4 linked regions of the Caenorhabditis elegans genome follow. The protein of the gene in region 1 interacts with the protein of each later gene in a pairwise test. Each region holds a gene or a part of one and is shown on either strand. Other genes may lie near its edges.

The links.
Region 2: the proteins of nhr-20 (region 1) and ztf-16 interact in a two-hybrid assay, tested with the Caenorhabditis elegans proteins (one large-scale study listed by BioGRID).
Region 3: the proteins of nhr-20 (region 1) and ima-3 interact in a two-hybrid assay, tested with the Caenorhabditis elegans proteins (one large-scale study listed by BioGRID).
Region 4: the proteins of nhr-20 (region 1) and klf-2 interact in a two-hybrid assay, tested with the Caenorhabditis elegans proteins (one large-scale study listed by BioGRID).

Annotation. Positions count from the first base shown.
Region 1 is NC_003281.10:4,229,866-4,236,257, reverse strand, and holds nhr-20 (Nuclear hormone receptor family member nhr-20), read left to right. Parts: upstream 1-3,038; 5' UTR 3,039-3,055; coding exon 3,056-3,254; intron 3,255-3,530; coding exon 3,531-3,707; intron 3,708-3,828; coding exon 3,829-3,917; intron 3,918-4,059; coding exon 4,060-4,120; intron 4,121-4,225; coding exon 4,226-4,383; intron 4,384-4,535; coding exon 4,536-4,855; intron 4,856-5,159; coding exon 5,160-5,275; intron 5,276-5,323; coding exon 5,324-5,481; intron 5,482-5,539; coding exon 5,540-5,635; 3' UTR 5,636-5,822; downstream 5,823-6,392. Other genes in the region: F43C1.5 (uncharacterized protein), read right to left, coding at 5,865-5,905, 6,148-6,369. UniProt on the Caenorhabditis elegans protein: Orphan nuclear receptor.
Region 2 is NC_003284.9:4,805,000-4,814,507, reverse strand, and holds ztf-16 (Zinc finger protein ztf-16), read left to right. Parts: upstream 1-2,967; 5' UTR 2,968-2,982; coding exon 2,983-3,055; intron 3,056-3,268; coding exon 3,269-3,324; intron 3,325-3,568; coding exon 3,569-3,713; intron 3,714-3,816; coding exon 3,817-3,908; intron 3,909-4,262; exon of another isoform or gene 4,263-4,400; intron 4,401-4,618; coding exon 4,619-4,687; intron 4,688-4,851; coding exon 4,852-4,941; intron 4,942-5,003; exon of another isoform or gene 5,004-5,144; intron 5,145-5,837; coding exon 5,838-6,062; intron 6,063-6,254; coding exon 6,255-6,434; intron 6,435-6,502; coding exon 6,503-6,628; intron 6,629-6,676; coding exon 6,677-6,880; coding exon of another isoform or gene 6,881-6,964; intron 6,965-7,631; coding exon 7,632-7,814; 3' UTR 7,815-8,510; downstream 8,511-9,508. UniProt on the Caenorhabditis elegans protein: Positively regulates the expression of ver-1 in the amphid sheath glia of amphid sensory neurons. Together with ehn-3, plays a role in somatic gonad development and is required for proper gonadal primordium assembly and somatic gonad precursor cell morphology.
Region 3 is NC_003282.8:7,557,609-7,564,505, reverse strand, and holds ima-3 (Importin subunit alpha-3), read left to right. Parts: upstream 1-2,841; 5' UTR 2,842-2,845; coding exon 2,846-2,920; intron 2,921-2,965; coding exon 2,966-3,036; intron 3,037-3,149; coding exon 3,150-3,365; intron 3,366-3,410; coding exon 3,411-4,005; intron 4,006-4,048; coding exon 4,049-4,527; intron 4,528-4,606; coding exon 4,607-4,715; 3' UTR 4,716-5,765; downstream 5,766-6,897. Other genes in the region: F32E10.9 (TPR_REGION domain-containing protein), read left to right, coding at 1,369-1,493, 1,543-1,708, 1,796-1,993; nprl-2 (Nitrogen permease regulator 2), read right to left, coding at 5,810-5,933, 5,978-6,680, 6,725-6,897. UniProt on the Caenorhabditis elegans protein: Binds specifically and directly to substrates containing either a simple or bipartite NLS motif. Promotes docking of import substrates to the nuclear envelope. Seems to act as a cytosolic receptor for both simple and bipartite NLS motifs.
Region 4 is NC_003283.11:20,683,111-20,689,885, forward strand, and holds klf-2 (Kruppel-like factor 2), read left to right. Parts: upstream 1-2,572; 5' UTR 2,573-2,588; intron 2,589-2,619; 5' UTR 2,620-2,706; intron 2,707-3,797; coding exon 3,798-3,986; intron 3,987-4,034; coding exon 4,035-4,455; intron 4,456-4,500; coding exon 4,501-4,560; intron 4,561-5,430; coding exon 5,431-5,660; 3' UTR 5,661-5,720; downstream 5,721-6,775. Other genes in the region: F53F8.3 (RING-type domain-containing protein), read right to left, coding at 5,726-5,871, 5,925-6,408. UniProt on the Caenorhabditis elegans protein: Probable transcription factor which regulates lipid metabolism.

The sequences.
Region 1 (6,392 bases):
CCGGTTATTTGAATCACAAAAGGGCGAACAACACATATTTGACCAAAATATAAATATTTGAAGTTGAAACTCGATCTTTTTTTGCTCAACCAGTTTTTTGAAATTCCTATACCCTCTTCTCATTTTTTTGGAGTTTTTCCTTGCGAAATTTTGTGCCTTGGACTTTTTGTTTTTCCTTTTATTTTTAATGTGCACAAATGAATAATATTCTAATTTCCCCTTGGAAAAAGTGATCGAAGAAGAACAAAATTTGGAGTTTCGTGCCAGTGGTCTGTGCAGTGAACACCTTGTTTTTCCTGTCTAGAACGCATCTCTATGAGCTCATTTTGGTAGTTTCCTTGGGAATAGCACCCTTTTATGATCTTCTATTAAGTGTATTTTTTAATACAATAAATCCTTGTGAATTATGATAAATTTTCGACCTCTAATTTTCTCAAATCACTTTGTATAACCTCCCAGAAAATTAGAAAAATGTTAAGCTAAACTTATGGTGCATCGACTGAACGATAATGCTGTCGAAAATAATTTTTCTGATCGTTCTCTACTAAAAATTCAAAGTTCAACTTATTTTATATAGCTTGGTCTTCTGTTTAGCATAAACAAAAATATATTAAATTTTTTAGTCTGCGTAGTTTTCTCTTCCTCGTGTGTCTATTTCTAGACGACCTAAAGCTCCCGTTAATAAATTTATTCCAGTCGTCGCTCGATTAATCCCCCCTCTGCTTGGTCAGAATGCTCTCTTGATCTAATAATTTGAGATTTTTGTGACTGGTGTTTGATGGAAGACGTTATCGAAAAAAAAACAAATTTTTGGACCTGGGGTATAAATCTCTAGGCTTATAATTTTATTGTTTCTAGAACATTGTTTGCTTAATTTTCAGAAAATGTTTAGAATTGTTTAGGTTTTATCAAATTTGAATACTAATTGATATTTGCAGAGAAAACAACGTTTTTTTGCTAAAAACACTTTTTTTTGGAAATTGCTTTAAAATTCGTCGAATTTCAACAAAATTATATTCGAAAAAAATCAAAACTTGCCAAAAAACAATTTTCTATTCGAAATTTCCCCTTATTATTTTTTTTTCTGCCAATTCAATTTCAAATTCCCACGCAAAAAAGGCGGCCACCGACCAATCACCTATGTTGGCTACGCCCACTGCGCATCGCTGATTGGTCTGCGCCCTCTCACGACTATTTTTAAAATTTCTGAATCAAAATAACAATTTATTCGCAAACAATCTGACTGAGTTTCAAGAATGCAGCCAAATTTTTTTGAAATCTGAAACCAGGTTTAATTTTTTGATCTCTTTGAATCCCTGCAGAATTCATTAACATCACGTCACTACTAATTATTTGATTATATGAATCACTTGAATCAGCATCATATCACTTTTTATCTGGGGAATATCAAAATGTTTACTTTCAAAAAATTCCCACGTGTGTTTTTTTCCGCTTTTCGGGACATTGCAAACATGTGATGAAAGCATAGAAAACTAGAGTCTAGTTGTAAATAGGGACAAGTTTGAAAGGCTTTTCCTTTCTCTTTTCTTCTGAAAATAGACTAAGAAAAGTGTTTCTGAGAAACGATTTTGATGGATAAAAATAATAAATTTAATTTTCTCCTTTTAATGATTTTAAACATTAAAGCAGAGAAAAGTTGGATTTTGTCGAAATAGTCTAAAAATTGATTCACTAAAATGTTCTAGATTTTCAATAAGTTATGAGCAGCCCTACACTCGTTAAATGCAAATTTTTGAAGCCTAACTGAAATATAAAATCGTAGAGAAAACTTTTTTGGCCGAATTCCAATATTATGGTAGGTAAAAACATAGCAATCTCTAATTTTTTAGTGAAAAAAAAATTCAAAAATTTTTTGGAAAGCTTTACAATATTAGAGCAACTTTCAACAGCTCTTAACTTAATTTTTATGAGTCGTAGCAAAAAATTTTCACCTGCAAAAAATAAGGATCGCAATCGAAAAATACCGGTAATCTCAGCAGTGGTCGTTTTTTGGAAAATTTGGCAAATTTCAAAACCTAGAATTAATATAAACCATGAAAATTTTGTGTAAACTGAAAATACCTCTAACTCTAAAAATTTACAAACTTATTTATCGTTAGTTTAAAAGTTTCCAGATTTTCGAATTCTCATTCAAATTGCATGGCAAATTGGCATTTTTTTTTTCAAATTTTGGATTGTATTTTCAAACTTTCACAAAGTTTTGATATAATTAAAATATTTATTTATTTTGACTTTAAAAAATATATGCCCTGAAAACAAAGCTTGACACTGCTCATAGAGGAAAAAATACCAATCGGAAAAACACGGTAAGTATTTTCAACTGATCACATTTTCATCCAAAACAATCAATTTCGAGATGTATATTAATACAATTCATAGATTACTATAATATTAATAACATAGATCACAGCTCCACCACCTACACACATCCTATTTTGTATCTATCCAATAATTGAATCAAAGAGGCGTGGGGAAATATTTTTCGGAGAGTTATGTATAACAGTAATTCCTTTGTTGTTTAAACTTTTACATGATAGCCAAGGTTTACAATTTGCAAATTTACAAAAATTAACTTGGAGCCATGTGCCTTTAAGCTTCTGTATCTCTGAAAAAGGATAACATGTCGCAACCAAATTATTAGTATTTCTGACTAGTACCCTCGGTGTAAAAATTTAAGTTACTGAAAAATCGTCAGTTCTTAAATGTACAAAATTATGCCAGTTATGCAGAAACGTTTTAAATTGTATAAAATGCTGTCAGAAATAGACTATATCTCAACGCGCAATTTCAAGAGATCATGATGCTAGGAGAGACCGGTTTCATTTATTTTCGCGATAGTATTCCTCAAAATGTCATGCACAATTTCACACTCTATTTCACTCATACAGATGATCATCATATTTTTTCTCTGAACGTATTATCTCCGGTCAATTGAACTTCTTTTTTTTTAAATATTGACCTTATATATTTGTTACTCATCTGGCTGTGTACATTTCGCTCATAAAAATAATTTTCAGCTGTCAAAAAACATTGAATGAAACAAGAACGATCAAGTGGTGGTTACAGTGGCATTCCACCCACATCCAAATGCCTTGTTTGTGAGCATCCAGATGGTGGCTCCGCGCATTTTGGGAGTACATCATGTCTGGCGTGTGCCGCGTTTTTCCGAAGGACCGTATCGCTGAATATTCAGTTTCAGTGCAAAAAGGACAAGAACTGCGTGATATTTCATGGTAAGCATCTGGAAATGTGGCCGAATTTTTAAGGTCCTGCAAATAACCAAAAATGTTCTACGTTTCATAGAACGGAAAAAAATATATTATGCAGCGCTCAACATTTTATAGGTTTTTCTAGGTTAGGGGATAGACTCGAAAAATAAAAAAAGATTGTTCACATATATTTTGGGAGTAGTCCGGGTCAGTCAGCAGGCATATTCCGATCTGAAGGCTTACGTGATAGAATCGGAGTTGCAACTTACCTACACACCCACTTTAAAACTACTTTTCCAGAACTCCGAATGATTTGCCGAGCTTGTCGATTCGATAAATGTGTGAAAGCTGGTATGCGGCGAGAATGTGTACAGAAAAGAAGGTCGAATAAGAAAATTCCGAAGAAACATATGAATATGTTGAGAGAAGATCAAATTAAGATGGAATATGATGAGTGCAAGTTTGAATGCTCTGGAGGTGAGTGCTCTTTTTGAAGTTAATAAACTTGCGTGTAAAATACGATGCATTAAGTACGCGTGACTCAATGTATCGTGGCGAGACCCGTTAACTCCTTTTTGAAAAAACCCAAATACTTCAGACCAAACTGATGACAATTCTCCTCTGTCGATTGAGAAAAAATCGCCGCCCGGACTTCTTCCAAATGACAGCCCAATGATGGCAGACTTTGTAAGTGCTTATGAATATTCAAGCCTTCAATAAGACCTAGAAAAAAAACATGTGTTAGGCAGGCATGTAGGACTGAAACCTGCCTGCCATGGAAACTCTAGGAACAAAAACTTAAACATTTATATTTTTTCTAAATTTTCAGAAGTTTGACCCCAGCGATATCCCGTCAACGAGTGGTGGATCAACGCAGAGGTTGGAAAGATGTGAGTTTTTTAGTGGTGGCAAGACCCACGGAGAAAGACGTCATGTACTTTTAAAGGGACATCTCAGTATTTTCAAACAAAACTTACCCAATCAAGTAATTTCAGCACCGTCTCCAAAACTGGCAGAATCGAAAATCCTCAGTATGAACGGAGAAGAGTTGCTTCGATTTTATGTGGATCAGTTGAAAAACTCAATGGACCGGCGACGAATGATTTTTACGGATACTGCACTTTTAGCTGTCATTGATGATCGAGGCGATGTGGTGAGTTTCCCATTTTAATCGGAATTTATTTCAACTTGTGCACAGTTTTTGAAGTAAAATTTAAAGTTTAAAACTGTGCACAGGTTGAAAATAATGGGCGTGGCTTATTGGTACATTTTTTATACTCCTAGTCGAAAAGGTCAAATTTGCAGCCATTTGACGCAACGGAACCACCTCCTCACTCTCTGAAACGACAATACGAATCTCAACGATTCGATAATCTCCTGGCATTTGACTTTTGTAAATGTTGCCCCGGATTCGATTTTCTTAGTCGAGTGGAAAAGGCAATCTTCTTTAGAAGTTGTTCATTAGCCTACTGCCTGCTGGATATCGCTTGGATTACTGTACAAGCTTACCCAGAAGAAGCCGCCGAGCCAGTTTTAATGTATACGGATGGAAGTGTGTGTACAGTTAATAATTTATCGTATGGATGGGATGATGAAGAGGATATTTGTGCGCATGATAAGAAAAAGTGAGTAATTCATTCAATATTTTGAGCACTTATTCGTTTGGAATAAGGAAAAATTTGATTTTGGGCGCATATTTTGAATTGAGAGCTCTCTAGAGAGAACCAAATTTTTGGCTATCGATGCACCATGAAGAAAAATTTTTTAAAGTTAATATAACACAAACTGAAATTCAAATAGAAAATGTGAATTAGGAATAACTTTACTGTTAAATAAGGTCACTACGACCTTTTTTCATTCATGTTGCATCAAATAATTGTCCTGAAAACTTGAATGTTTTGGTCAATTGAATTTTATATTATTTTTCAGGCTATTTCTTGGTTTTTTGGGTCGCTTCAATGACGCTATTTGCCGGCCGATCCGGAATTTAAAAATGACACACGTGGAATTTGCAGCTCTTAAAGCTTTGTGCATTTGGAAACTGGGTTAGAATTCATCTAGTGAGAAATTAATAAAAATCAAATATTTTGTAGGTTACTGTGAATTTACTCCAAGTATGAAAGTAATCGGGAAGGAACACGAAGAAGCATTGCTCAACGGATTACACAATTATTATGATGATTTGTACGGAAATCCTGATGAAACTGGCATGAGGATAGGAAATCTCATTTTGTTAATGGGAACTGTTTTTGTAAGTTTTCATTTACAACTGATAAATGAGACTAAAAAATAATGTTTATTTCTTTCAGGAAATGAATCAATTAATAATGGAAACCTACAAATCGGCGGAACTTTTCGAACTATTCAAGCTAGATGCTCTTTCAAAATCCCTGTTGACACTTTAGTGGAATTTGTTTTCTTTTTTTGTTTTTAATATTTTAATACTTTATATGGAAAAATCAACATTTTACGGGTTCTCTCTCATCTTCTGTCTCCCATTTTCTTGTATTTACTGTTCCTAATACAAAATATAGTTGCGCATTTCAAATGTGATCAATCTGCAATGTGATAAAATAAAATGAATTCATTATGAGTCTCCTTTTTATTTAACAACTGAAAAAATAACAATTTAGATTATGGTGCTGAAAATAATCTCGAAATTCGTGATCCGGAAGCTGAAAAAAATAATATTTGGGTACGGTAGTTGGTGAAATACGCAAACACCGCCACGCGTATTTGCGGACTTTTCATTTTTCAAAAAAATTTTTTTTTAATTTTCTTTGTTTTTTTCTGCAAAAATCGTTATTTCTCTTTGATTTTTTGCGGGAAATTTGTGATTTTTAATGGTTTCACAGATGTTTTATCGAAATATCAACTAAACATAGTCTCGCGACCCTATAAATCATGGCCACCCCACCTTTTCTCAACGTTTCCTTTATTTTCGCCGCGAAATTCTCCGATTTTACTTCTCCCTCCCCGATGTATGGTCCATCTGGAACACGATCTTCGTCCGATCGTCGTCTCGGTTCCAATTTTTTCGCTTTGTTCACACTAATTTTAGAATTTTTCGAATTTTTCCCGGGAATTTTCACATGCCGGCGCGATTCTTGAATAGAAGATGAGTCAGAACATGACTTTTCTGAAAGAAATTGTGACGCCACG
Region 2 (9,508 bases), on another chromosome or scaffold:
TGCTTTTCCGGTCGCTAATGAGCTCGTTGCCAACTTGCTCATTCGACCGTTATAACCATCGTATTTATCCTCCCACCTATTCCTTGACATGAGTTATCTCGACTCTGGTTTTCCGAAAATTTGATTTGAAATTGAGGCTGAAACTAAAAGAGAAGCCGAGAGAGAGAACTGACGAATTATCCAGAGTTATCAATCAAAAAACGCAGGGCAGCCGAAACTTCCACAAATCGGAATAATCAAATCCGACGGCCATTGCTTTTTTAATTCTTTTTAGTCCTTGACTCAATAAAATCAATGAATTCGCGTCTCGCTGTCTTCTCGATACATTTTTTCTGGATACTTGATTTCATTTTTAAGTTGTATTTCTTTTTCCGTGACTCACTCTTCACATTTCATACACACTATCTCTTTCCTAATCCAAGGTTCTTGATGAGAGGACGTATGTCGGTACCTAAAGTGTCAATTTTTCAATTCCTGTTTTTTTGGTTATCATCCTAAAAAATTTCACGTCGTTTTCCAAGGTTATTGAAACATTATTGTACTTTTTGTGAATTTGGTGCTCTCATAACTCATTAAAGATCAAAACAAATTGAAAACATGAAAATTAAAATCAATTTCGGAACTAAAATCTTCGTGACACTGTAGATGTTTGACTTGATCATACGTTCAGACGAAACAACAAAACATACAGGAAGAAGACACATATGCAAGCATTCACACCTTCTCCTAACATCCTTGTCTTCTAATTTTGTAACATTTCCGAACGGACAAAAAACCACAGAGATAATGTTAGAATGATATATAATCCTTGGAAAACCACGAGATCGTCAAAATCACTTGTTCTCCCTCCAATTTTTTATCTACATTTGACGTTTTCCCAAATGTTCATCCAATTGTAATTCCACATGCCTTATCTATTGGAAGGTCATTACTATGTTCCAGACGCTCTTCTCACTGCCACAAAAAACCGGGTTTTTTTCTCCATCGTAAGGAGGAGACATAGTGCGGAGAGGGAGGAAGTCTCCCTGCTGCAGCTAGTATGGTCTGAAAAGATCCCGTCGTCTTCACTTTAACCTTGCCGACCTTCTAGGCCACCCGCAACGGCATCCCCTCTCCCCCAGTGCCTTCTCTCCAATTTTTTCATTCTCTTTCTTCCGAACGAAACGGTGTGAGTGTGTGTGTGTGTGTGGGGGTGGGCGCTGCGTTTTTCTGATGAGGTGCGCGCAGCTCGATTTTTTCTTTACATCTTGCGCCCCCGGGCGACAGATAGAGATGATGCCCGTTGCTGCCTGCCGCCACTGCCGCTGCTGCTGCCATCGACAGTTTCTTCTTCTACATCGTTTTTCTTCTTTTTTCTTCATCGTATTCCCAAAAAAGCTTGTTTGGCACCCCGCGACACACGCACTATCTCACCCCCTTTCTCTCTTCTTGTAAATGCCATTCAGAAACCGTCACCTCCTCCCCCCCTCGATCCCCGCCATCTCATTTTTTCATTGCCATCCGCGTAAAGTCGTTTTTCCGCCCTGCCACCCCCAGGTGTAATCCGCCCCATATCAGTTTGCCAGCTTTTGCACTTTTAGTTCTACCGTATCCAATGCCTGCGGTGCCCCACCCCCAGAGATTCCTTCACTCCATATTTGCTCCCCACCATTCCTCACACCCCAAATTTCTCTTCCTATCCTAGAACCTAAAACATAGAACCTAGATTTATGTATCGCAATCTTACCGTTCTCCTCCGCAAACGTAACGTCATACTAGATGCGAGTTTGCTCTCCAGTCACTTCACCCATCTCAATTACCTGTTAGCACCATCTGTCCATCTAGACCACCTTCCTGCTAGTCTCGAACTTGTAGTGGTGGTTACGCGCAATTGACAGTAATCCAGTATAGACACACAGCCATGCAATCATCAACATAATTGTGCTATAATCCACCTGGCATTACTTTGCCTTCCTTGAGATCCTGTTCTTTTTTCTCAGGTTCCTGAATCTTATTTTTGTGCTGGTTTCAGATTTTGATCATTGAAAATTTTCATTTTATAACATTTTTACCCTATCCACCCAATCCATCAAATCTCTTTTTCGTGTTTATGATGCAAATTTTGTGTAATAGTATATATGTTTTGATGTTTCGTATCTTACACACCATGTCTGGATGCGATAATTAATCCATATTAGTTCCTCCTGTTTTTTTTAATGTTCATCAACTTTTTTTTCTTATTGCTCCTCGTAAAGGTCCGTAAGATACCTACTGCCCAGCGAATACACACTTTACCACTTCTCTTACAAATATAGTAAGCACACAGTAGCTCGTCGCTATGAGTGCAAGTCAAATCCGGAGAAGCAGCTTATGGAGTACACGGGGAGGCATCGGGTTGAGATGTTTGGCCAAACCCGGAAACCGTATCTCGGTCCTTCTTCGCCTCCGCCGCCGCGAGACGACAAACAACTAGGCGAGGTCACCTAGCTGCTCTCAAAACCGTGGACCAGGCTCTCGCTAAATCAAACACACTCATAACAAGTCCAACTCGCAGTGGTTGCTAAAGAAGCTGGCTATCCATAAATTACTGCCTACTCCCCAAATTCGTATCCAGGCGCGTAACCAGTAATTTGGCGAGCCGTTGTAAATGCTTGTCAATGTGATCATACCTATGGATCCGGCTCCTCCTTTTCCCCCTCCTCCGCTTTTTTCGCTCCGATAATACATATTTTTCCAGTCACTCTTAGTATTTCCATTTTCCAATTTTCCCATATATTCCTATATCCGCCTGTTACCATTTCCTATACATTTCCTTTCTTATCTTCTGCCATCCGTAAACACACCTGATTATTGTGTGCAAGTCTCGTCGTGCCATATTCCTCGCTTTTTTCCCCTATTTTTCCTCGTTGTTCTTCTTTTTGTCGCCCATTTTCGTCTCATTACCAGATATTCCCTGTCAGGGTTTTTCATTTTGCTATGGTTATCATTTCAGTGATCTCAACAATGGATGAACTGAACGCTTGCACAGAATGCGGATTCACGACTACTGTATTTTCCGAGTTTCAAGGACATATAGGTAACCAACCTGTTCGGTGATACATGAATGCCAATTCGTTTGAAACATCCACCTACCCGCGCTTTGTCCATCTTTTTTTCATCTTAGAACGGAGACAAACCCGTAAAAATTCGGATTTGTAGCGGTTTAGTGAGCGCTTCAACCCATTAACTAACCCGCTTCTATTGCGTTTCACATTTAGCAACATTACCCCCTAATACTTTTTTTTTGCAGAGAAGCACGAAAACGAGCACAGCAGGTCTTCAAGCGGAGAAATGTCTAACTCGCAGGTATGTTATGGGAGAGTAAAATTCATCCAGAAGAGTGAGAGCGTGTGAGTGAGAGATATAGAAAAAAGGTTGCGTCATAATGCCATATTTGCCTAATTAGTGCCAGAGGTAGAGAAGATATGTGAGGGAACAACAGAACGTGGAAAAAATGAAGAGGGGAGGGATGTTGGATGTGACGTTGTAACACGTCTTCCAGACATGCCCCCTGAGACTCGTTAGAAACATTGAGACCAAGGCTTTTCAGACAATCGAGTGGGGAGATGGTATTCAGTCGTCCACGCCGTCGCCACGGTCCACGCCCCCTTCAGATCCAACGCCGAGTCCGGACTCGGATGAACATCTTGAACATCACATTTCGATAACAGAAATCACAAACACTCTCATCAAAAGTAAGTTTTCTTTGAATTGCATTTTCTTACACACTGGAATGTATTTCTATTGATGGTTAATTACCAAGTACCAATATGCAATTGTGAAACCTAAAAATTTCAGAAGAACCAGGCACCAAAGGACAAAAGACGGTTCACGTTTGCCCGCACTGTAATTTCACCACTTGTATGTCGCAACACATGAAAAGCCACTTGGTAGGTTCAAGGATTTTTACCCGTTTTCTTGAAAGCATTCTCTTGTTCTATAGGTGACGGAAGAGTGAAAGATACTTTCAGTACATTATTACGCATGTTCCCAAGGGTACAAATTAATTTTAGCATGTAAATCTGTTGATGGATATGAAAGTCTTTTCAATTTCCCTCTTTTCCACTTTTCATCAATTCCTTGTAAGGTGGGTCCTGTAAGTCAACACTCCGTGAACCTTTTCTCTTCTCCCACTCGCTCCATGCCGCTTTTCTCACAAACTACTGTTTACTTTCTATCTACTGTCCAGTTAACTGCGTCTCTCACTTGACCCTACTGTTTTTTGTTCCGACGGCCAATCCCATCACTTCCCGAACGGTCATCGGGATGAGTAGTAGTGGAGTGGTATGGGAGAAGGAGGCAGGCTCCTCATATATTGGCTTTTCTTCTTAAGGATGTTGCCTTTCATGTGAGCCGGTGTCATACTAATTGGTTAAGGCAGAATCTTCCGAGAAACCAAACCAAAAAAAACATAGATTTTCCCTTTTTCGGTTATGTAGTGACATCAAGCGGTAGAGATTGGGATGGGTGGAAGAAGATGGGAGGAAAAAGAGGCGTTTTTGGAAAAAGAAACGGGAAGACCAGATACGGGGGCAGTACAAAAAACGTGATGACCTTAGAAATCACATGACATACCAGTGAAGATTCTTGAACATTTCAGGAAGCGCATGAACGCCATCAAGGCCAAATGTACCAATGCGACATCTGTAAAATGCAGTTCAGCCAGAAGGTGAGCAATTTTTAAAACATTTTCTGAATCGGAATCTGGTTTTCAAACACTCGACAACTTTTGAATCATTTGGATTTTCCAAGTATGGTTATCGTGCTGATTGATCTTCTTCTTTGATTCCCTTTTCACTTTCTTCCTGTGGTTTATCAATGTTGCGTTTTCAGGCTAACATGCATCGTCATCGGATGCGCCACAGCGGTGTGAAGCCATACGAGTGTCGTTTTTGCAAAAAACGATTTTTCAGGAAAGATCAGGTATGCTTGTCTGGCATATTTTTTATTACCCTCCACCTCCTAGCCCCACCATTTAACGGCTGTTGCGTAAGAAGCCGCTGCCGCCTTCCGTAACTCAAAAATCGTGTTTTATCTTCAATTTACGTAATCAAATGGAAAGTGAAACTGATCTCCCGTAAGGAAAGGGAAATTGAGGGAAGAAGGAGGCGGCGGATTGCCGCCTGAAGGTCGTTTTCAATTTGGATATTTTCACTTTCCCGGAAATAAGAAGAGTCTCTTCCATGGATGGCAGGGAACTGCCGCAGTGCCCATCAACCATTTCTTCAAGCGCTCTGATGATATCTGTTTGCCCAAAACCGTTCTTGAAGGTCGACGAGCCTGAAGAAAACAGGAAAATCGGGGGGAACCAATTTGACGGTATTGGTGTCAGGTTATGCCGTCGAATATGAAAACGGTTGGCGCGTCTTTCTTCTCCGATTCTTCATACTATCCGACGACGTTGGTGAAGATGAGAAGTAAAAGACCTTGACGATAGCACGCGCATTTTCTTCGGAAGATCCTACCTCCCATCCTACCTTCTAGCATCTTCTCGATGTCTCCATATTTTTGCCGCTCTTTACTGTGTACCTTACCCCCAGGGCCAATCAGTAAAAAAAAGAAGAAATACCAACCGTCGGCGGTTTTTTTTTTGTTCTAGCTGCGTCTCTGATTGGTTCCCGAAAAGTTGAAAGCCATCACCCTCGCTCGCATCAAAAGGGGTTTTTATAATGAAAGACAAAGGTTGCGGGGCGAGGAGAAAACCAGAGAAAATTGTAAATTGTAATATTGTGTGAAAGTGAAAACCGATTTTTAGATGTTAAAAACATACCGTAGTCATGTTTTAAACATGTAACTTAAAATAAACCTATAACTTTCAGATGCAAGAGCATTCAATGACACATATCAAAACGGGTTTTGGTTTCGACTGTCCAGTATCACAATGTAACATGCAGTTTAGTCAGCACAATGCACTCCGAGCACACTTGGAAGAAACGCACACAATTTCGTCAACAAATCCCGCGTCATGTAAGCGATGTAATTTGATGTTCGCCAATTCGCGACGTCTTCTCCTTCATTTCCAGACAAGACATGACGATTCTGAGGTAAGAGATGTAACTTCAGATTACACGGAAACGTAACACATGATTAGCGAGCAGAACCTGAGCCTTATTAGGTGATGTTTTTCTCGTTCTCGGAGCTTAATTCGGTTGCCCCAAGAGACGCACTTTCCGTGGAATCTCTCTCATCATGTGATATCCTGAACGTGAACTCTTATTTCTCATTCTGATTTTCAGTCTTCTCCGAAAAAAGAAAACACGCCAAAAAGGAAGAAGCTGTCGAATGGAAATGCTTTGCCAATGGATCCTGCGAACATGAGCATAACAGAACAGTTGCAAAGAATGGTGAAATCAGAGTTTAGCCCTCCAAACACCGACACCTCCGATAACTCCACAAGTTCTGAATTCGACAAAATTGTAAGAATCTTTCTTTCGTTTCTTTTTGAATAAAAAGCATTTCCATGATTCCATGGTTTTATTTTCAGCCACCAAGCTTCCCTATGGCTAACCCAGATATTTTGTTGATGTGTCTAAACCAAATGAACCAGTTCAATGGATTCGGAGAAAACATCCCAAGACCAATGCTCAACATTCCAAATATTCCATTGCCGGTATCAATGAAACCTTCACACTTTCGCTAATTAACCTTTGCATTTCAGGCTCTTCACAACATTCCAGCAGTGGCAGCGATTGTGAAGCAGGATCAGGTGCAACTCTGGTCAGAGCAGACGTCAAGCTCTGTGAGTGTCAGTGCTCCAAGTCCGAGTGAACAGTCGCACTCGCCGCCAGCCAATGAGTCATCACTTTCGTTAACTGAAAAAGAGAAATCACCGACTCCCGAAAAAGAAGACGAGGAGAATGTGGTATGTGTTATCGCTAATAACAACTTGTTATTGAAAATGTCACCATTTTGTTTACCTTTTTTCGAAGTGCAATTAGAATTGTGAGCATCGTCAACAGAGTTTTTTTTTCCAAAAATTGGGACTTTTGATCCATTTCTTTGTTGATGCCAAAATTTGGTTTTATCAACCTTAAAAACATAGACTGATTAAATGATTGCCAATTTGTTGCAACTTTCGGAACGTTCTCATTTGAGAAAAAATCTAAAAAAAGAGATAGAAAAACCGAACATTACACCATGTATAGTTTGATGAGGAGGTTTTCAATTTCTCGTAGATGTCACAAGTTTTCTTTGAAATCTGAAGGATGATGGATTCTCTACATCACCCACCTTATCAGAACTATCAACTTTCTCTTCCGAAATTTGAATTTAAAGGAAAACTATAGGTTTTAGGTATTTTGAACATTTTGCAATGAGACTTCTCAAAAAATTTCAAAAAAAAAGAGTTAATTTTAGCTAAAAGCCCGGCCTTTGCCTTTTCCGGTTCGCAGCAGCTGATACCATTCAAAAAAAAGTTCGGACTGCTGCAGTTTTTAGCTAGAATTTGGCAGGTTTTTTCAAAAATTCAAATTTCGATTAAAAAAAACTTTTTAAAAAGTTTCTGTTAGAAACTTCATTGCAAAGCTCGTTAATTCGTGCGCTTTCTGTATATATACTCAAAACACTCATAACCGTTACTCATTTAATGGCATCTAACTCTAGAATTATTTTAGGAATGCTGTCATTGCGGAATGATGTTCTACGACAACACAATGTACCTGCTCCATAAAAGTCTTCACTCGGACGGTGATCCTTTCAAATGCGCATTGTGCGGAACTCAGTGCGGCGAGAAGTACATGTTCACTACTCATGTCATTTTTGCCGATCATAGTACTCAAGCAACGACTTCCGCCTGAATTCACCATCATCCAAGAAATATCCCCCCGATTGCCTTTCAGTTTTAGTAGTCAGTCTAGCGAATCCAAAACACCCCCATTCTTTCATCCACATTTTAATTTTTGTTTTTTTTTTCGGTTTTCTTCGGTTTTTTTCGATGCATATTCACAGTCAATTCTGATTACCTCTTTATTTGTCACTTTCTTTCTTCATAACAGGGAAACAACGAATGATTCTGCTTCTTCTCATTGATTCTCAACAGCTCTTTGTCTCTATCAAAAGTATTTGCCCCGTGTTTTTGTCTATTTCTCATCAATATTAAACCATCAAATATCATTATTTACATTTTTAAAAACTTTCTTCATCTTCTCCTGATTCTGCTCTCTATCTTGTTTCAATTCATTTGCACACGTGTCAAAAGTCATTTTGGACCCGTTAATTTTTTCCGTAACCTTGCATTGTTAGGTTTTTGTTGTTAGTGTTTTATTTTCCTTTCTCACCACCACCCCTCATCAAAATTTGTACAATTTCAATGATTTCTTCGAATGTATTTTAAACTAGTGAACTTCAACTGATATTCAGAATTTTTGAAGGCCTCCTTATCTGTTCCACCCATCCCAAACATTTCTTTCCGATTAGAATAGTAATTTTATCAAGCTTTCTCTCTGTCCCACTGTCCCATCAATTTTCTTCCCATTTCAAAATAAATTTTGTTGAAAACATACTGGAGAATAGAATACTAGAAAAAAGTCATGGTGGCTAGGAAAACGGCTAAATGGATTGGCAGGCAGTCTGTGATTGACATTGGCCCAGCGTATATGGTTATGAGTCGTGTGCTGCTCACTACGGACAATCCGGTTCAGTTGGGCAGTGTCCCACGGGGACTTGCCAAGAACCCAATGCATCAACATTGTGCTCTGCAGGACCAACAATAGTGGCTCTCTTTCTCATATTTTTGTCAAGATTAGCGACTACTAGATCAGTTTTATTTATAGCCATTTGTAAGGACATTTGAACTATTTATGGGTTGTTGTTTTATTTCAAACTGCATCTATATTTGTTAGCAGATTGATAAAAAGTAGAACTATCACAACACAAATTGCAGGTGCCTTTCGTCAGTTATCTGACAGAACATGATTGAGAAACACGGTTGGCGAAGTTTCCAGTTTTTGCCATATTTTTTTTACAATTTCGCATTAAACCTAAAAATTCATGTTTATTCACATAATTTGATGAATGAAAAATTAGCTTGCTGGATTCTGAAATTTTGCAATTTTTTCCTCACAATTTTATGCACAAAAAATTTTCAAAAAATTTTGTTGAATATATTTTTTGAACTATAAACAAATGTTACATTTTTACATTTTATGAATTTTAAAAATTCAGAAAACAATAAAAACAAAAATTCCGGTGCTTTTTAAAATATCGTTTTATGAATATTCAGTTTGATAATTTCCAGGAATTACTATTTTTTTTAATTAAATTTTTTAATCTCAAAGACGGAAGTGTAAAAAATTGTTTTAAAATTTTCCAAAGTTTGCTTTTTTTTTTCAATTTTTTCAATTTTTTCCAAAAAAAAACAATAGGAAAACAATCTTCGACAAATAAAAAAACAATCTTCGACGGAAATTCCCAGAAAGAACAGAAACTTGAAAATAGAACAATTTGAAAATCATAAAACTTTTTTTTTTTGATTATACATTACTTCACTTTT
Region 3 (6,897 bases), on another chromosome or scaffold:
GTATTTTGATAAAAGTGGCTATTTAGGCTTAAGCCGCGCCATACCGCCGGTGTGTCATAAGGATTTCCAATATTTTATTCCAGTTGGGCATCCTAGTATGTTTTTCGGGCCTTTAGGCTTAAGTGTGTCATAAGGATTTTCTATATTTTATTCAAGTTGGGCATCCTAGTATGTTTTTCGGGCCCTTAGGCTGGTTGGATTGGGATTTCCAATGTTTTATTCCAGTTGGGCACCCTAAGTCTAAATAGCTCTTTTTCTTTTCTATTGCGCTCCAAGCGCAAGGAAAAGCCTTCTTGTAACTTTTTAAGAGGGTTTCATATATTTTATTAAAATCGGGGCGAAGCCCTGATTTTAAATCCATATTGTTTTTTTTGTCTTCCACTATCCCTGAAAATAGGAAAGAGAATGTGTTCTTTCTGATGAAGTAAAAATCAGGATTTACCAAAACAGGATGCATATAAACATGGATGGAGTGGGCGGAGCGAATTCGCAATCACCGCACGCTTATTTCGCAAGCCTCGCACGTTTTTTCCTTGATTTTGTTGCATTTTTTCAAAAGAAAAAACGTGCGAGGCTTGCGAAACAAGCATACGGCACTATCAAAATTTATGAATCGATCCTTGGATTTTGCAAAAACTTTTGTCGTGCAGAAAGTTGGGCGAAGCGTCCTTTCGCAACACTGCCGCGTGGGGTTTGCCCACGGCCCTTTTTAACTGCTTTCTTGTTGATTTTTTAAATAAAGTTTCGATTTTTCTTTTTTTTTCGAATGAAAATGTTATCCAATTCGAAAAAAGAGAAAAATACAAGTAAAATCGAAACTTTATTTGAAAAATCAACAAGAAATTAATTTTTGCAAAATCCAAGGATCGATTCATAAATTTTGATAGTAGTTGTCAATTGGCTCCGCCCACTGCATCATTTTTTGGTAAATCCTGTTTTGAACTGCATTCTGTTTTGGTGGGGCCTCGAGACCACAGCTTTACATGGAGGCTTAGCCCATGCACCAAGTGAAGAGCTAGTCATCAATGCATCTAGACTGGAAGGATCCATCGCTTCCCGAGTAAAGTTGCTTGTGATCAAAGGTGTCAGTGTCCCCTAAAAATTACAAAAACGGGACAACGGGAATTCCCGTTCCCGTGAAAATTTTTAAAACGGGACAACGGGAATTCCCGTTTCCGCGAAAACACCCAAAAAACGGGACAACGGGACATCCCGTTCCCGTGAAAATGACAAAAACGGGACAGCGGGAATTCCCGTTCCCGTGAAAATTTTAAAAACGGGACAACGGGAATTCCCGTTCCCGTGAAAACACCCCAAAAACGGGACAACGGGACAAACGGAACACGGGAATTGACATCCTTGCTTGTGATGGGATTGGAATCGGACAAAATCAAATGCAAGGTCGCAATCATGGCTGAAATTAAGAGTAGAGGGAATCTGAAAAGCTCCCGAAAAATTTTTGAATCAGCTGCAGCAAAATTTCCGAACTGCCAGTAAGACAACATTTTTTAATCAATTTTTTTGAAACTGACTTACTTTCAGAGCTATAATAACCGGACGAGTCATTGTAGAAGAGAACGCAAATCGCGGTGCTGAGGCTGAAAAGCTTACCCGTGATTTTATCACCAAAAATACTGACGTCAGCGGAGATGAGTTGATAAAATTTATCAACTACATGGAGACCTACGATTCCAAGTTTGGTTTAAAGGTAAGCCTGTAAAACACTGAAAAATGTTAAACGAATTATATTATAACTATATTCTTCGCAATAGTGATTCAAATTGAACCATTTCAGGCTGCAATTCAAGTTGCAAAGGACAATCTTCCATGGGCCGGCGAAGAGAACATAGACCAATGGGTCAACTGGGTCAACCTACTGATTAGTCTGAAAAGTTTCAAAAGTTCCAAACTTTTCTGTGAACACGGCATGCCAGCAGCGTTGGGGAGTGTATCTTTTCTTAAGTTTTTCAATAGATCTTTGCGAAAACTGTAACAGGATCGACACTGACCGAAGCAGATCAGGTGTTCTCCTGGATCCAGGAACACAACAAGAAATTGCGGGAAAAGACGGCTAATGTAAGTTTTTCGGACTAGAAAATACTCCTGGTTTTTTGTTCAAAAGTATTATATCAAATGCATTTGATGCAAATGCAAATGCAAATGTAACCATAAATATCATTATTTTTCAGGTGGTGCAGGATGAGAGCGGCGACGAGTAGGATGCAATCACAAAATTTATTGCTTTATAATTTTTATAAAATCCGCTGTTATTAATATTGTAAAGAATGTTGAGTAAATAAATTTATTATTTAAAATTTTTTGTTAAAAGAGCTTGGTACCCAAATGTATTTAAAATTGCCATATTTTGAAACCATTTGAAGCGAAGTTTGACATTTTAATCAGACATTGTTTTTTGTTCTTAATATCTTTAACATTTACACGTTTTCCTTTTTTTAAAGAAGATCCATCCAAAAACTCCGGAGCTTCTTTTCCCTAGTTTTAAAATCTACGAGTGAGACCTCTTATCTGCCAATACGCTCTATTGTGTGCGTTGCGTGTCAACCGCGACGCTTCTGCGACATATTTTGTCTCGTTATCGACTATAATTTTTCCCCAATCCTACTGAAATCTTTCCATCTTACATGTAATTCATTGGATTTTATTTAAAAATTTCTGTTAAAGTTTCTCAATATCGCTCTTTTCTTATTTTAAATAATTAAGCTGTAATCTTAGATACTTTTTGTGTTGCGAAATCTCTGATAGAAAGTTCCGCAGTTTTTAAACGTTTTTTGTTGCTTTTTACTTGCGCTACTATTCATTTATCAAGTTTTTTTCTTTCAGCAGAATGAGTTCAAACAGACAGGCTTATTATAAGAACAATGCCAAAGAGCAAATTGGCAAGGAAAAAAGGAACGAAGAAGTAAGTTCGATAAACTTGTTAACGCATACATTATTCAATTTTAAGGTGGTTTCGATCAGAAAGGATAAACGAGAGGAGGCAATTTCCAAACGGCGTAATATCAATACCCAAATTGAGTGAGTTTTTCATCTGATTTTATATGCTTCAGCTATGAGAGCTAACAAAAGTGTTTCATACGCTTATCACAGTAAATTATCTGTTCCAGTTTTTGAATTGTTTTAATTTTCAGAGATGATTCTGAGACTTCAACAACCCCACCAGGTCCATTTGATGCCAACCTCCTCCGGTTGACAGTCGCTGCTGCCCAATCGAGCGATCCCGCTGAGCAGCTGACTGCTGTTCAACAAGCCCGTAAAATGCTATCAACTGATAGAAATCCACCAATTGATGACTTGATTGGCAGTGGGATTTTGCCTGTCCTCGTTCAATGCTTGTCCAGCACGGAGTAAGAATTTTCATAAGGTCGCATCAAATTACTGTAAATTTTCAGTCCAAACTTGCAATTTGAAGCTGCATGGGCCCTTACCAACATAGCATCTGGTACATCAGAGCAAACACAAGCCGTCGTGAATGCCGGAGCCGTTCCTCTCTTCCTGCAACTCCTGTCATGTGGAAATCTGAACGTTTGCGAGCAATCTGTCTGGGCTCTTGGTAACATCATTGGAGATGGACCACATTTCCGTGATTATTGTCTCGAACTCGGAATTCTCCAGCCACTATTGCAGTTCATTAACCCGGAGATACCTATTGGCTTCTTGAGAAATGTCACATGGGTTATTGTCAATCTCTGCAGGTGCAAAGATCCGGCACCAAGCCCAGCTGTGGTTCGTACGATTCTTCCCGCCCTCTCACTTTTGATCCATCACCAAGACACCAACATCCTCATAGACACCGTTTGGGCCCTTTCTTACCTCACCGACGGTGGAAATGAACACATTCAAATGGTTATCGAAGCTCAAGTTGTTACCCATCTCGTTCCACTCCTTGGACACGTTGATGTTAAAGTTCAAACAGCAGCACTTCGAGCTGTAGGAAATATTGTGACTGGAACCGACGAACAAACACAACTTGTGTTGGATAGCGGAGTAAAAATTTTCATTTATGACTTTTCCAAATCTTAAATTTCAGGTTCTTCGGTTTATGCCAGGACTTCTCGCCCACTACAAAGAGAAAATAAACAAAGAGGCTGTTTGGTTTGTCTCCAACATAACTGCTGGAAACCAACAACAAGTTCAAGACGTATTCGACGCCGGAATCATGCCAATGATTATTCATCTTCTTGATCGAGGAGATTTCCCAACTCAAAAAGAGGCAGCGTGGGCTATTTCCAACGTTACAATCTCTGGCCGTCCAAATCAAGTTGAGCAAATGGTAAAGCTTGGTGTCCTTCGTCCTTTCTGTGCGATGCTCAGTTGCACTGATTCGCAGATTATCCAAGTAGTGCTTGATGGAATTAACAACATTCTGAAAATGGCTGGAGAAGCTGCCGAACAGGTGACATCAGAGATTGAAGAGTGCGGAGGTCTTGACAAGATAGAAAATCTTCAAAATCATGAAAACGAGGACATTTACAAACTGGCTTTCGAAATTATCGATAACTTCTTCAGGTAGGAGTCCAATTATATTTGATAAAAATCTTCAGAGTCCGTGTGCGAATGTTTGGTGTATACGTTTTTATATTTTCAGTTCCGATGATGAGACTGGCAACGTGGAAGGAGCTCAAAGTTCTGCTTTTGGAGGCGACGTTCCACCAGTTCCTGATGCTCCAAACGGAGGATGGAACTTTGGAAAGTAGATCTCCATGATTCCTTTAATCACAAAATACGTTTTGTCTTATTTCTCGTAAACAATTTCGCATGCCGTTCCCATACAAATGTTCATGTAGTTTTCGTCTTACTATTTTTCACACCTCACTTTTTGTTAGGTTCTCGTGTATTTTCATCTGACACGCGAGTTCCTAAGCCAGCTTCTCGGAAATGCAAGCTCTCTTTCATGTGAGATTTTGCACTTTTTGACCAATTGAGTTTGCACGTTCTTCTACAATCGATTGTCAATTATCTCATCCTTTCTTTATCTCTTCGTTGTTTCTGTACCATCAGTGATTTGATTAACATTTCACTTTTTCATCCACCATCTTTTTTCCATTGTGATTAATTAGTTACAATGTCCCCGCCCTCTTCTTCGTGTGTGCGAGAGTGACTGTTTTATGATAATATATTTCGATTTCTTTTTAAAGTGAGTGTGTGAGTTGTGCATTTTTGTTGAGTTTTGTTTTCATTTTTGTTTCCCATTCGCGCCCGTTCATTGCCCGCGTCCCCCACCCTCATCCTTTTATCATTGTTACCGCGTCGTTTTCAAATCTCTCATCATTTTTCCCAGTCCCTCCAATCCCCACGGTCCCCAGATTTTCTCTCTAAAAGCGAGTATTTTCATTTTCTTCACATGTTACTTTTATTAATTCTTTATCATATACATAATTTCAATTTCTTAGAACTTCTGATCCCCCTAGTTTGCTCATTTCCTAGTCATCCATCATCATTCTCGATTTCATTAGTTCTCGGAGAATCTCGTTGATAGGCCAAAAATTCCAATCACCCTGCTCCTCTTAGTTCTCGTGGACTCCAGTATTCTTTTTCTTGAAACCCCACCCATCCCGTAAGGCCTTTTTAAAGGTATATCGAGCCGTCCCTCTTCTCATCATCCATCTTCTTTTCTCATTTTCCCTCTCATCTTCCTCATCCCATTTTCCTTTCTCCCGTTTTGCTATTCTCGATTGTCTCGACTGACTGGCCAATATTCCCTTTACCTGGTGTGTGCTCTCATAATAAATAAATCAAATTTATTTGTTAAAAGTTGTTGTAAAACGAAACAATAATACACGATTTTCATTTATTTCATGACAAACTCAAATTTTCCGGTTTCTTCCAACAGTGAGCAAAGTTGTTCGGGGTCCACATTATGTTGAAGAGAAAGTTCGTCAATTGAAGTTTTTCCATTACACCGTTTCAGGAGACTTAAAATTGTATATTATTAGATAGTATTAATTGATTAACTTACGTGTTGTTGCCTGGGTTTGCAACACAAATAGGATATTTAGAAAGTTTACGAAGAAACTGATGATGCATTCCAAATTGTACAAGTCGCTGTTCATCAATACCCATCGATCTTGGTTTCTCCAGATCGGCCCATTCTGCTAGATTGTTGCCGCACTGAAAACGTAGTCGATTGCTATCAGATTCGTCGATCGGAAGTTTAGGTCCCACCACTTTCATGCTCAAATAAAGTCGGAACACATCCGAAAATTCTGGAGTTCGCGTTGGAATTTCTGAGCCGTCTGCACCGATTTCCGTTTGAATTTTCACAAACTCAAGGCAGTCATTGATTTCCGTTTGATTTTTGTAAAAGTCGTGAACTCTTTCAGTTGCCACATATGTATTATAGTAGAGAAACATTGGAACAAGACTGACACATTCGTAGAAGTGTAAATTACGAACACATCTGGCGACGAGGGATGGATCAAGTTCGAGAATAATAGCAATCTCTCGAACTGTATTGATTCCATCAATTTGAGGAATAATCTTCTGTGACAGAACATCCATTTTTTCTATGAGATGATCGGTAAGCGTCACTTCTCTTATGAACATTGGAACCATATGATAATCGATTTCTGGAGGTTCACATCCACGATACAATGGGCATAATTTGAAATATAATGTCACAATCTTTTCATCTTCAAGACTGACTTCAATCACACTTTCGCCTAAATTTAAAATCTTGTTATTCATAGAAAAATACAAAGTTTACCTTTATTCGACAGATCATTGAACATTCTCTCCATTACATCAAGAACCTGATCCTTGTATTTTGGATTTGTGAGAAATTTGTATTCCATCTCCAATTCAATCAAATATTCCGCGCATTTCTGTACAATTGGCTCATACATTGTTTCTGCAGATGATGTCATGTCAACGATGAAA
Region 4 (6,775 bases), on another chromosome or scaffold:
ATAAATGTAATTTTCTGTAGTATTGCAATATTGTGAAGGTTAGGCCAAAAAAATGTTCATGTTGAAATATTTTCTTGTCCACGTCAAGAATCATTAAACTTCCGAAATGTACCAGCATTCTAAAATAATTTTTGAAAGTATGGTACGAGATCTTTTTGTCAATTTTGATTGCATCTTCCACGCGGGTCTGGCTTCCATCATAAATTGAAATGTTAGAGTTTGCCGAACTAGGCCATTTTGGCTCGGCCGCATCTTGGGTAGATTTACGGAGCGTTGAGTGCCGCGTCGCGGATTGGTTTTTGTTGTAAAACTGAATTTTTTTTTGTCCCTTTAGAGTACTCGACTTTTACACGCGTCATCTCCGGCAGGCGATTGTCAATGGAGCGCGAAAAATGCAACCAAGAAGGTCAGAATTACGATTGTGTTGGGAGTTATTTTGTATATTGTATCGTTTTCAAGATAAGCTGACTAATGAGGTCCTATTATATGTAATAGATTATCATATCTAGAAACAAGATAATTCTGGAAAAGATTTTTGATTATTCTTAGATAGTCTTGTTTTTTATGTACTTATCTGCGAAAACTAGAAATATTTTTAACGACTATTATACTAAAGTTATTATATATATTTTTTAAGGGATTCTTAGAATTCACCTATTTTCATAATACAAATTATAGAGGATATAAAAAATACCTATATAATAGATTGTAGTTATTGTATTTTCTCACTTCCGTTGTCTCAAAAAATGGAACCTCTTCTAATTATCCTTTTCGTTATTTATTGTACAGTTTTTGTAATTGGGACTACTGGAAATTTGATTATGGTCCTGGTGACATATTATTGCAAGTAAGTACATCAACAATTTAAATTTAAAAAAAACAAATTTCAGAAATCTCCGGTCAATTTGCAACGTCCTTATTGGTTTGTGTTGCTTTTACGATCTATTACTTGCTGTTCAATTTTAAAAACCAGATTCCAAAAATCGAATGAAAATTGTTTACGACTCATCTTGCACTTTTAAACACGCAAAAATGTAGAGTGTCAGACAAAAAGATACATTGCCACTAAATTTGTATGTCTATGTAAATATATATGTGTATATATAAATATATTTCAGAACATATGTACATACTTGTTTACTCACATCTGAATTCTCTTCGAGATCTTCTAATATTTTTATTAGTTTTTTTTGTCAAAACTCAAAATCCTGACGGTTACAATTTTTACAAAGAATTAGGTTGCTGGAGTTGCCTCAGTTAAAACCATACTGCGAGTTTTACCAGTCGAACACACCTTTCCATTATCTCAATATATCAAACATTAATCAATCATAAAACTGATATGGTCCCGCCGCAGTTGAAAAAAAGGAGACCGCCCGTCCAAACAATATTCTCAAGTACGTTTACATACCTAGTCGGCACTTTTAACAGTAATCACTGCTTCCTCCTCTTCCGCACCCACTTACTGGATTGTTCGCACCCGTAAAATCATAACTTCCCGACTGTAGCAAGGCGAGGCGGTAGGGAAGAGGGTACTAAAATTGGAGGTGGGAGGGGGGGGACGTTTGGATAAACACAGCATTGGGGTATCATTTTAGAGTACTGTAAGTGATACTGTTTGTGGATATGTATAGTTTTTTTTTTCAATCTAGCGTCTACATTTCCCTTCTGTTTTTAGTCCCGCACGTCATTTTCAGATTTAAAACCAAATCTTGGTTGTGACTTGACTGTCCGCAAATCCGGCAAATAGGCAAAATGCCGGTTTGCCTATTTGTCGGAATTTTCATTTTCGGCAAGTTGCCGGTTTGCCAATTTGATGGATATCAGATTTGCCAAAAATGTTTAGAGGGATTTTTTTTATAAGACGGAAACACTTAAAACTGTGCCTTTTTGAATTTTTTTCCGTTTTTTTTTTTGAAATTTTCATAGAATTTTCATAGAAATAGAATTTCTGATTTGCCGGCAATTTGCCCATTTGCCGGAAAAATCGTTTGCCACCCACCCGTGATGTACTGTACTATTGATCAAAACCGGCATAACTTTGGAGCACTACAAAGCCTTGTGTTCTTTCTATAAAATTTCTGAACTTTGAAAACAAAATTATTTATCACATGTCCTTTTCCCAAAAAACTCCCTTCCTTCTTCTATTAATGACACCCATCTCCCCTCCACACATTTTCCGCGCACACACCTTTCTGCCACCCCTTTCTCAGAGAAACAACAAACCTCCCCGTTTTTTGGTTACTGTTTGCCCATGCCTATCAGTTTTGACATGCTATCATAAAATGGCACTTGCAGGGCATATGTGCGCCTTCTTGGATAATTTTCTTCTAGCTTGACCATCGTCTTCTTGACATGTTTATTTTTTTTCGAAATGCCCAAAAGTGTCGTAATCTTTAGATCAAACATATCATGACCACCATCTACACATGCTCAAGTTTTCTGTATTTTCTATTCTTGGGGGGAAAGAAAAGTTTGCTCAAGTTTTCTGTTTGTTATCATAGGAGTGACCGGTCTGGTGTCACCACACCCCTTTTTTGGAGCCTGGGGAGCTCACTTTTTTGTAGACCAGAAGAGGTGTGTATATTCGCTTAGGATGTTTATTTTTGTGGAAACATTAGTCATTTTTCTTTAGTTTCACGATAGATGCTCTACTAATGAAGGCACGTATTGTAATCTAGCATTAACATTGTTTTGTTCTTTGTGGTGAGTACATAGGTATTTTGTTTTTAGTGAGTTAGTTCCTACGTGTTCAGTGCATTGAGAGTTAGAGCCTTATAGTTAGTAGTTAGTTCCCAGAATTTCGAACTTGAAAGTTCTTAAAAATGGAGCAGCGCCATTGGGGAAAATGCTAAAAACAACTCCTATGGTGTCAAAAATGACCGAATATCAAAATAAAACTTTCAAAAAAATTTTGAAATTTTTCTATTTACTGTCAAAAACTGACAAGTGCTCATTCTTTGCCACTCATAATTTTAGAAGTCGGAAAAAAATTTCTTGCATTTTTTATATTTTCATTTTGTTTTAATTATTTGTTTTAAAAAATTATAGGGGTCGGAACATGCGACACTGCATTGAATTTCCTCAAAGGCTCATATTTTTCAATATTTTGGCAATGTGCCAAAACTTTGACCTGGAATTATGAGAAACCTAAAATTTTTAGGAGTGTTGCATCATGATATTTTGTCGCTTTGGTTTAATATAAGTGAGACAAAATTCTCACAGGCGCTACTCCACCTTTAACTTTCTTATCTCTTGAATATTTCGGTTTGAGTGTGAATTCTCTAAATATCAAAAAGATCCAAAAATTTTGCTACTAATTCCCCCTATTTGTATATACACTTGTGATATGACGTAAAAACATATTCACAAGAACTACAACTTTCGCTTTGAAAATTCACAACAAATATCGAAAAGTAAGCAGTAGGCAAAGAAGAACGCAAGACTTTTATGACTTGAAATGTATTGAACGAGAATGAAGACGTCACATTTGTGCGTGTGTGTATGCACAACGGTATTACATGGTGTTGTTGTAGTGTTGGAATATTTGTACTATCTACTAGTAGAAGTTGCCTTACTTTGGCTTATGGTTAAGATTTTCACTACAAATTTAGAACTATGCATACAATTAGGTTCAGGCATTACATCTTTTTTTAACCACAAAATGAATTAGTATTTGCCTATGCTAATTTTTATTTGACCTTCTGTTACAATGTAATTTTTGAAAATTCGTTTCAGAGTCTCACTCTTTTTTGGTGATTTTCAATTTATCGTTATTCATCTACAACTCCTTCCAGATGTACTCTAGCATAGTCCCGTCTAGTTCAAATGGTTACTATCATCAGTCTCAATACCAAAATGCCCATCACCAACATCATCAGCAGCATTATCACCAACAATCTCATCATCATTATAATGGAGCAGCTGCGGCTCCAGTCATCAATGTTCACAACTATCATTTTCATACGGGACCTGTTAATAATCAGGTTTTGTATTTAATTGAAGTTTTTAAATTCAATTTTCTATTTTTTGAGGTCATCGAGCAGCACTACAATCATCATAACCATGTCCAACAAACTTTCGAAGAAAATATTCCACAAGGCCCGCACAGTTCTTTCAATTTTTCCCATGACTTTCCACAACAGAATAATTCCGAAACTCACCTCAATCACATGGAACCTTCGATGACTCCAATGGAACATCAAAACTCGGGAAGCTCGACACCATATCCGTTTGAAGCCAAGTTATTCGTTCCATCGCCTGCAGCGTCTGTATCCAGTTACTCATTTTCAAGCGATTTGTCGGGTAAAGACGAGGAAGATCCCAGGATTCCTTTAAAAGATCGTGGAAGAGTATATCATCCGCAGAGCACTGAAAAACCAAAAAAGGTGCCGAGTAAACGGAGGGATAAGGCTACTTTGGATCGATTAAGAGTTCATAAGTGTTTTTATCAAGGTAAGTTGCAAGCGTGTTTAGCTTAAGCTTGAATTTCATTTTCAGGTTGCGGCAAGGTCTACACAAAAAGTTCCCATCTAACAGCTCATGAGCGTGTTCATAGTGGTGAGTAGCTTACAGAACCTCATTATACATAATTAATCATATCCTCCTCTTCAATGTCGTGAACAGCGCGCACTCGTCGGCACATTGTTCTGTGTAACGGGATACTTCCGTTGACAAACACGCTTCTCATCAATCACTAGATACTTTTTGTAACGAATGCACAGGAATCAACTACTGTTGCTATGTTATGTTAGTCCATATCAATATTTGGCCTTGTCCGGTACTTCGCGGCATCCCCCTTTTAGAAGTATCGAATAAGGAGTTGTAAAGTATCAATAAACTGTCAATTAAGTGCGTGGGCCTATGGATATAAGAATTAGGAGGGTTGCGGGAAAATTGGAAAATAATAACTTACCCAATTCCTAATGCTTCGGAAAGTGTGGAAAATGCGAAAGTTGCTTGCAGGAAGAACGCCTGAAATATCTATTATATTTTGGTTTATCTGGTGATTGACGAAACTCAGAGTCGCGATTTGATCTGACACTGAGATCGTCAGCTAAGCTTTTTAAAATGTTTTTTTGCTGCGAAAATCTAAAAATTTATAAATTTGCAACTGCTTCTTGGGAAATTAGCTTGCTTTTTATTTCTAAAACGGTAAGATGTAAAGTTTTCAACTTTTATGTTAGTTGAGCACTTTTTTTTAATTTTGAGGTTTGAGAAACGGATAGCCAAAGTCAGTTTTATACAGATCCGGTCGTAAATTTTCAACAACTTTTGATATCCGCAGCAGAAATTAAGATTTTTCAAGCTGAAAATCTCAGCTTTCAAATGATGTTAGTTTCACACCAAATGGCCACTTGGAGTTTTGAACATTCCCTAGTCAGCAGCTTGCCAAAGTATTACCTATTCGATAATAATCTTCTCATTTAGGTGAAAAGCCGTATCCATGTGAATGGCCTGGATGCTCTTGGCGATTTGCACGATCCGACGAGCTAACCCGCCATTACCGTAAGCACACTGGAGCCAAACCGTTTGCATGCAAAGAATGCTCCAGGAAATTTTCGAGAAGTGATCATTTGCAGTTACATATGAAGCGGCATGAAACGGATGAACAAGACGATGGAATGGATGATTTCAAGGATTTCATGACTTTTATTTGAAGATTTCGTTTCATTATGAGTGAGATGATACGTTTAATTATGAATAAACAGTAGATTGAATCCTTTCACATATTAAGAACAATGTAGTTCTTTGGCAAATTATTGAGTGGCGTAGTTCCAATTTTTGTGACAATCCGGCAGAAAGGGCATTTGATGTACCCTTGCCCGACAATTTTTTGAACACATCCCATGCACATCGTGTGACCACAGCCTGAAAATTTTCAGTTTTCTACTGAATTTAGAAAAAAATAATTTAAAACTAACCCAAAACTCGCGGAGTCTGATCCATAGTTTCTCCCTCAAACTTGCAAGCACAAATTTCGCAGGTTCTCCATGGGAACGGTTCTCCTCGTTGCTCTTCCTGACTCTTCACATGAAATTCTGTCAATTGGTTCACTCTCCTTCGATACCCGTCTGTGACTCCCTGCTCTTTTTTCACTTGTTCTTCGACGCGAGACATATCGTCTCTGAATCGCAATTTGAAGGAAAAGTCGTTAAGTTGCTCCTTCAAACTCATGTTTTCTCGCAGTAATCGTGCCATGTGTGATTCTTGAATAGTGAATTCTGTATTGACTTTCAGGGTAACCCTTGACAGTTCTTCATGATCTTTCTTCAACTTTTCCACTTCACTCTTCAACTTTTCATTCTCCGCGGTTAATCTCAATTTGACCTTGTTGGCTTCTTCCTCTGCTCTCAACTGTGCACCATTCTTTCTTTGGTCCGCGTGCCTCGAGCTACGTCGCAACATGGAAATTCTGAAAAAAAGTATGATTAGTTAAATGAGTAAATGAGAGAGTGGGAGAGTATATTTGAATAAATTAAAGGTTGCATATGAACAGAAATTGAGAAACATAGTAGAGCTGGATGAAATACAAGTATTATCTTATCAAAGTGATCATAACATCTCTTGAATAATTAAATAATGATTAAATAAGAAAAAATGGGAAAAGAAAACCTTTGCGGAAACGCAGAGCGCGCCGAACTGGGAGGAATAATTATCGATTCGCCCTATGCCCTATGCGACGAGCGTTTCTTCCCGGGAGGCAAGTCTTGTTGAGTAGAAAATGGGGTTCCTGAAGATTATAGATCAGTAGATCAAAAATGTTTTGACCCAA